Linked DNA regions of Coturnix japonica. The protein of the gene in region 2 interacts with the protein of the main gene of each other region in a pairwise test. Links are inferred from orthologs where the notes say so. Each region holds a gene or a part of one and is shown on either strand. Other genes may lie near its edges.

Evidence for each region. The genes of interacting proteins can lie anywhere in the genome.
Region 1: the proteins of SAT1 (region 2) and HOXB9 interact in binary tests that used the Homo sapiens proteins (3 or more experiments, as listed by UniProt). The two-hybrid records come from large-scale screens. The link is inferred for Coturnix japonica from reciprocal best matches to the Homo sapiens genes SAT1 and HOXB9.

The regions. Positions count from the first base shown.
Region 1 is NC_029542.1:3,139,289-3,143,331, reverse strand, and holds the start of HOXB9 (homeobox protein Hox-B9), read right to left. Parts: upstream 2,832-4,043; 5' UTR 2,679-2,831; coding exon 2,171-2,678; intron 1-2,170. UniProt on the Homo sapiens protein: Sequence-specific transcription factor which is part of a developmental regulatory system that provides cells with specific positional identities on the anterior-posterior axis.
Region 2 is NC_029516.1:107,414,935-107,418,992, reverse strand, and holds SAT1 (diamine acetyltransferase 1), read right to left. Parts: upstream 2,869-4,058; 5' UTR 2,655-2,868; coding exon 2,589-2,654; intron 2,392-2,588; coding exon 2,172-2,391; intron 1,029-2,171; coding exon 927-1,028; intron 818-926; coding exon 777-817; intron 503-776; coding exon 332-502; 3' UTR 6-331; downstream 1-5. UniProt on the Homo sapiens protein: Enzyme which catalyzes the acetylation of polyamines. Substrate specificity: norspermidine = spermidine >> spermine > N(1)-acetylspermine. This highly regulated enzyme allows a fine attenuation of the intracellular concentration of polyamines.

The DNA.
Region 1 (4,043 bases), on a different chromosome or scaffold from region 2:
CGCTGCTATTTCCTTAATGTAATTGACTCGATCTAATATGCAGAATTAAATATTAAAGAGGAAGAAAGCTGTTAATAATTGATACTGTTAATCCTGCTACCCATCTTTTAATGGCAACGGAGGGCTCTGCTTCATAACGCATTTTTATTTGGTCGGGTTTTATTTTCTTTTATTTTTTCGGTCGCATCTCGGATCGTTAAAATCGGAGGCATTTGAAACGCGGGTATTTTATTTACTGACTGTATACACCCTCCTGAATGGGCGAGCAAATGAGGGGAGGCTCTGGCACATGGTTTCCTGCAAACCTAGCAAATAAATTCACAGATCCCGGTGCCATAACCGGCCTAGAGATTCATTATTGTGAAATACTTTCAAAAAATTGAAAGAGTCAGGGAAATGGGTGGGAGTGCTCGCTGCAAAACAGCTCCGTCTCCCAGCCCTGGCAGCCTCTCCACATTAGCCCAAATTAAACTATTATTTAAAACAAAATATGCGTCGTAACCACACGCCATAGAGAAACCACACTGCATCCTCTTAGCTCTGGTCCCTGCGCTTACTTAGGACTTAATAACATTTTCTTGGACGAGGCTTTTCTATATTGAATTTCAGGGACATTGAGCACAGAACCTGGATATTTCATTCTCTCCGACCATTCACCTCCCGCTTGCAGTTTGTTCTGGATCTCTGCCCAGCACAATAGAACAGGACTTTCTTTTTGTGTGTGTGTGAGTGTGTGTGTGAGTGAGTGTGCACGGTGCAAGCCAAACGATAGGGGAAAAAAAGAATGCCCCCGCACCATCGTGCACACGGAGGGGGGAATACACCGCGTTTTCAGTACTGTTGCTCCTACACTTGGGTGAGGGGTTGAGGAGGGGGAAGGGGGGGTTGAGATGGGGTGGAAAAACCAAAATGAAGTTAATTCACGGAATGACTGTGCCAGGGTGTCCTGCACACGCTCCGCACGCTGTACCTTTAGCGGGGGCTTTCTCTGCCCTCTCCAACCCAACACTCCGCAACAACTTCGCCTTTCATTGCTCAAACATTCGCCGCGATATTGGAGCCAAATTTCTCCCTCTCAGCCCTTTCACCTCCCAGATGGACCCCGGGTACCAACCGAACCGGTGCGGGGTGAAGACCCCCCATTCTTACACACTCAAACTCTCTTGCGTCATTTTAATAACAACAACAACGCGTATTACAAGCAGCACTAACCATAATCTTATTAAACACATCAAAACGATTCTTCATTCTGCGTTTTAGGGCTAATAAAAGAGAAACCAGGTCACTAAAAAGGCACAGGCTGAAGTTTAGCTGTTCTCCAATCTGGCTACGTTACAAATAAAGAGCTAATTAAGCTGGAAGCACTCCCCCCTCTCTCTCTTTTTAACTCAACTCGGAGGGAGTTTGGAAATAGTGATATTTCGGCTTTGGAACAGTCAGACCCTGAAGTGAGGCACGAATATACGAGTAATTGGAAACAGAAAGAAGCGGAGGCGTGCAAAAAAAAAAAGAATAAAATAAAATAATAATAAAAGAAGAATAAAAACAAAAGAAAAGGGAAAAAGGAAACCAAGCAAAACGCTCACGACAAATACACCCACGGCAGCAAAAAAACAACAAACCCCGAGGTGAAGGGGAGCCCCGAGCCTTCAATCTGCCGGCGCAGCGCAGCTCAGCGGGCACGGAAAAGCCCCCGCCGCTGTTTACTTCCCCCCCACGTGAACTTTTCCTCCTCGATTTTCCCTTTCCCTTCTCTCCCCCGACCTCCGCTCTCCTCTCCCGGCCCTTCTCCCCGCGTTTCCCCGCACTCTCCCCCCCCTCCAGTCCCTCGGTTCTCTCCACCCGCAGCCCCGCACTCCCTCACTCCCTCTTACAGCAATGATCTCCGCTGCCGGAGTCAGCGTTCTGTAGGAAGGAGGACGGCTCGATCCAGCTTTTGTCCTCTCTGGACTCTGTTTTGGTCGGAGACGACTCTCGTTTTAATATTTATTTGTATTTCCCCCCAGAAACAATGCCACCCCTCTCCCCTCCCCACCTCTCCCCTTAGGTTGGCATCAGCCATCTGAGAGTTTTCTTTAAGCCCTGATTTTAAACTTTACGCAGCATTGTCCCCTTTTATTGCACCTCCTCCAGCTTTTATACTGTTTACTTCCTCACTTTTATAACTTACTTTGATCTGTTCTGTCTTTGTCTTCGCTTCCTTCACAAACTTTATTGTCCTCGAAGCTGGGCCTTTGATTGGAAACGATCCCTTCCCTTGCAGCAGAAGTTTCTAAATTGTACTCCTGTGTTCCCTGTTTATGGACATCCCCGGGACGGCCCAGCAGCGGCTCAGCCTTAACAGATCCCTGCCCGGGGAGGGTCTCTGCTCTGGGCACTGGATCCAGCCAGCTCCGTAGATACCTGCTATCAGATGGGACGCTTTGATGTTGAATATATGGATGGTAGACGGCAGGAAGGGTACCAGAAGAATGTGGATTCAAAGGAGTCCAGGAGGCGCTGAAAACAGGAGGTTTTGGCTGAAAACTACAAGAGGGGAATTCTAGATGTTCATTGTGCCCAGCTTGCCTGGAACTCGTATATTGCCCAGATGAAAATTTAGCTGAAGGCGAGTCTTCACTTTCATGACTTATAATAGAGTCGACATAGTAATTGCTAAGAGTCCCAGAAATGGACATTCTCAGACATCATACAAAGCACGGTTCAATGAAGGGAAAAAAAAAATATATAGGACAGATCTAGATTTGTACTCTACCCCCTTCTCGAACTTCCTAGCCAACAAAGTACAGTTGGGCTGCTGTGTTGTGAGCTCCCAGCAAAATGATTGGTCAAACTTTTTTCGTGTGCCTGATAAAGCGTCAGTCTCGGCGTAAATCAATCGAAGCCGAGGGGGCTGCGCTGCGCTGTCATCCGCCCTTGCATTCCATATCAAGGATGGATTGTTTTATGTTTATGCAATGTTGCAAAACGTCAGGAGTTTAGAAAAGCCACGAAACGGGCAGAGCTGGGGCTGATATCTCCCTACGTAGATTTTGCTGTTGTTATGGAGGGGGGGGGGGTCCGGGAGGGGGTCCGGGTTTCTTTTCTTTTCCTTGTTTTTTAATGAAAGATGCTGATGTATTCACTTCGCCTTTAATAACCACCATGGGGGAATGGGAGATAAAAGCTATTCTTTGCCACTCGGGCTCCAGAGTACGATAGCAAAAAACAAAAACCAAAAGGCAGAAAATACATAGAAATCAACCCCCCCTACCCCCCCATCCCCCCCTCCCTCCGACCCGCACCCCAGTGGTTTCGTATACACACATACTCGTGTGTGCATTACACGACATGCACACGATGCGCATACAGATGCGTTTTGGGAAGGAAAAGCGAGAGTCGTGGGAGGGTGTTGTAAATAACAAACCCTCTGGCATCGGAAAATGGATGCTAACGTGGTACGATCATGGGGGCAAATATGAAATTTCAAATGTGAGTGGCATATGCGTGACATTACGGCTCGGAGCAGCGAGCTGCAGACACGATCCCCCCCCTTCCTCCCTGCTCCCCCTCCCCATGCCCTCGGCTGAGTGCTTCTATCCGTATCGCATCCAAAAACCGCTCCGTGTATGAATTCATCTTCACGTGTTTTGCGGCATAATGTCGGGGTTGCTTTGCTGGAGCCGAACCAGCGTGATTCACCACGTCGCTGGAATCAGAAACCTTCATTGAACTTTACAAGCCCGGTGAAATACCGAGCGCCACTGACTCTGCTTTGTTGCGGAGTGCCTCCGACTTGCGACGGTTAAAGAGTTTAATAAAACTTACATTAGCTTTCTTGGATTTTTATAGTCCTGAATTTATTGCCTGTGGAAAAAGAAAGGGGGGGAAAAAAAAGGGATCCCTCGCCTTTCCAGTCACGGTGTTCCCCCCCCCGCACACCTCGCTTATAGCACCGCTTGTATGTGTGCGTGCCGCCTCCCCTCCACCCCCCCGCCGCCCTCTCCCCGACGGCGTTATCGGCGATCCGACTCATTTCGGCTTAATTTTAATTAGAATTATAA
Region 2 (4,058 bases):
GGCCATTGAGTGAAAACTATTTATTTTATAAAAGGAAATAAAACAAACCCTACCAGTGTGTACATTGTACACATTTGAATGCCACTTACAAGAATGAAGTTTCCATATACAAAGATTACAAGTTCACACTGGTAAAAGGATGGATACAAGCACGTATTCAACTTGAGATGCCTCCGCTCCAGCTGACGGTACCAATTACTCTATGACCATGGTTGCACAGTACTACCATCCACTCTATTTTATTCCACTACCAACACAGAAAGCAAGAAGGGGTTTATTCAGAGAGCGCGTATATTCATTGCAAGAGTTTAGTTGCTGGAATCTTCTCTCACTACTCTTCCGTTGCCATCTTCAACAGATACTCCTTGTCGATTTTGAAGAGCCTCCAGCCCTCTTCAGTGGACAGATCGGAGGCGCCCCTTCTCTTGTAGAACCTGATGGAGGGCTCGTTCCACTCTGCCACTAGGAAGTGCATGCTGCTGCAGCGGCACTTGACAGCAACCTGCAGGAACGCAAACACAGGTCAGCGGGTCTGATGCTAAGCAGCACCAGCTGCAGATTGCTCCGAGTCATGATGTTCACTTTATCTCTCAGTTCAGCCTCTAGGCAGTGGTTAAGGCTGCCTGGAGCTCTGTCATTTCTCTTTTAGTAACTCATCAATGCTAATCCTGTGTAGTGCTCAAGGAGAAACTTGATTGCAGCTAACAGAAAATCAAGACTACTGCTCCATCATGCATCCCCAGTGCTGTTCATTTAGACTTAACACTCAGACATACCTGACTCAGATTCTTCAGGATTTCTGATCCAATGCCAAGTCCTGAGGGAAAAAGCAACAAAAATATACAGTTTAAGGAAAAAACAGCAAGACAATTTCAATTTTAAAGTAGCTCTGTAGGAAGCAGCTTGTCTGATTCCATAGTACTTACCTCTGTATTCAGCCATCACATAGAAATCTTCAAGATACAACAGCTTCCCAATCCATGGATCGTAAGTGAAGTAATACATAGCAAAGCCCACGATGCTGTGCCCTGAAACAAAGCACGCAGCTTTAGCTGGTCTGAAGCTACCGATTTGCATTAAGTCTTACATGCATATTTAAATATACAGATAGTGACATGCAGCCGTTTGCTATAAGGTTAGAATAAGAATGAAGCACAACTGGAAACGTCAGTATAAACTGGCATCAACCTAACGGAAGACTGCCCTCTTCACACCCTGAAACGCTCAAGAGCAATGTTATAATAAGCAGTGAACAAAAAGGCTTTATTTCTACTAATACATACCCTACTGATTTATCAGCACTTCCCTTCTGGAATACAAAGCAATACAGAGCAGTCCAAGGCCTAGGTAACCGCCCCAACACTGCCTTGCTTGGCAACCCCGACAAGCTACAAAGCTCTACAGAAGGTTCATCTTCCAATGTATTGCTCAGTAGAGAGAAGACATGCTCAAAGACAACTGGTACATTCTGATACATTTCTGATACGCTGACATATGTGCACACTGATTGTATTGTGCTGTTTTGAATTCAGCACCAACAAATCAAGCTACATAGAACTGCAGCTTCAAGTACAGCTGCACCACTCAACAGGGAAGAGAAACCAGCTCTTCCTGCAATAACATATTCAAATCTAAGCCTTGAAAATCGCAATGTCTACCATCATACTCTGCACATACTCTAAAGGAAGCGTGCAATAACTTCTGATCTACTGTGTCTTTGGTAAAGGTTTGGGAATAGCACTTGTCCCTGTAGACCTTACCTCATATTATGATCATCTACTTTATTGTGTAACGGATCTTTTAGTTACCTCCCCGCCCATCCATGTACACAGAAGGGCCATGTACATGGCGAAGCTAGAGACTGTAACCTGAAGATTGGGGACAAATTAAAGAAAACATGTGATTCAACAGGATTACATAAGGTTAAGTTAGGGTCAAACAAGAAAAGCCATTTAATTACTTGGCATTAAGTACATTGTTACACCTGATCATCCAGCATCTCCGAGGTTAGCAACTACTTCACAACAGCACGGCTCTACGTTATCGCCATTTTTAAGCTTAGCCTGTTCCTCCTGCCCCGACTCCTCGCTGGAACCTCAAGTCAGGTAGGTCACAATAAGCACAAGGCATCTCTTATGTAAAAAGAACAAACGAGCGGCGCAATATCTCACCTTCAGCCGACCACTGCTCTTTGGGCACCTCCGCAACGAGGCAGTGGTAGAACGGGTGCTCACCGAATCCATCCTCCAGCAGCTCTACGAGAGCAAAACAAACGGGACCCTTCAGATGCGGGCGGCGGCACCGAGCCGCAGCAGGGCGGGCAGTCGCTGCAAGCCTACCTTTCTCGGTTAGCACCACTTGATCCTCCATGTCCTCGTACTTGGCTAGTTCCTGGAACGGCACAACACGTCAGCCGCCTCCCCCGGGCCCATCACCCCTCCTCCCTCCTTCCCTCCCCCCCTCGGCCTTGCGCAACGCCCTGTTTGCGCCTTCCCCGGGTTCGGCCGCCTTTCCTTCTCTCCCCCCCCCCCATCCCATCCCACCCCCCCCCACCCCATCCCTCTTGGCCTAACGTTGGCGTCCCGCACCTTGATCAGTCGCAGCAGGTCTGAGCAGTCCTCGGGACGCGCGGCGCGGATACTGAACGAAGCCATTTTCGACGGCGTTTCCCCCTGCGGCCCCCTCGGCTGACGAGTCCCCGGTGTGTGAACAGGAGGAGCAGCTGTTTCTTCATTCGTGTCCCGGGCGCGGCGGCCACCTGCGGTCAGTCAGGCTGCGAGCATGTCCCGGCGGCGCTCGGCAAGCAGACGGCTCCCACCCGACAACAACCCCGATCCAACGCCAACTGCGCCGGCTGCGCATCCTCCGCCTCCATTTATAGATGACCGCGCTCCGCCTCTCCCCGCACGACAGCCAATGGGAGTGCCCGCAGCTCTCGCCCCCAGCCAATGGTAGCGCCCCTCCCCGGAATCTTGCCTCGCCCTGCCAGCAACAGCTGCCGCCGGTGTCTCGTGACTGCCGGCCGCCATGGCGCCCTCTGGCGGAGGCGGGAGGCGCAGCAGGACAGGCCCCCCCTGCTGTATGTGAGGCTCGGGGCGGCTGTGCCACTCACACCGTTTTCCAGTGCACACCATGGCTTAAGAAGTTCACAGAATTGTAGGGGTTGGAAGGGACCTCTAGAGATCATTGAGTCCAACCCCCCTGCCAGAGCAGGCTCCCTACACCACGTCACACAGGTAGGCGTCCAGGCGGGTCTTGAATATCTCCAGAAAAGGAGACTCCACCACCTCCATGGGCAGCCTGTTCCAGTGCTCCGTCACCCTCACTGTAAACAAATTATTTCTCACATTCATGTGGAACTTCCTATGCTGAAGTTTCACCTTCATTTAGACACAGGGACCAGTATGGAACATGATACTGCCCAAGGATTGGATGGAGAAGTGTATTCTGGTGTCCAGGTTTGGTCAAGAAAACCATCTGGCACATGCTTAGAGCCCTGGAAGGCTCTAACATCTTAAATTCACCCTAAATCCAGTTTAGCCTCCATTAGAACAAATATGGAGCTGTCCAGAGAACAGATGCATATAAAAACCAGGAAGTGGCAGTCACAAAATCACATAATCACAGAACTGTAGGGGTTGGAAGGGAACTCTGGAGATCATGGAGTCCAACCCTATAGCAGGTTGCACAGGAAGGCATCCACAGGGGCCTTGAATCTCTCCAGAGAACAAACTCCACAGGCTCTCTGAGCAGCCAGTCCCAGGGCTCTATCATCCTCACAGTGACGAAGTGAACTTCTTTACAGTGAGGGTGACGGAGCACTGGAACAGGCTGCCCAGGGAGGTGGTGGAGTCTCCTTCTCTGGAGATATTCAAGACCCGCCTGGATGCCTACCTGTGTGACGTGGTGTAGGGAGCCTGCTTTGGCAGGGGGGTTGGACTCGATGATCTCTAGAGGTCCCTTCCAACCCCTACAATTCTGTGATTCTGTGATCTTCCTCATGTTAGTACAGAACTCTTTGAGTTCCAGCTGCATTGCCCCTTGTTCTATTGCTGCTC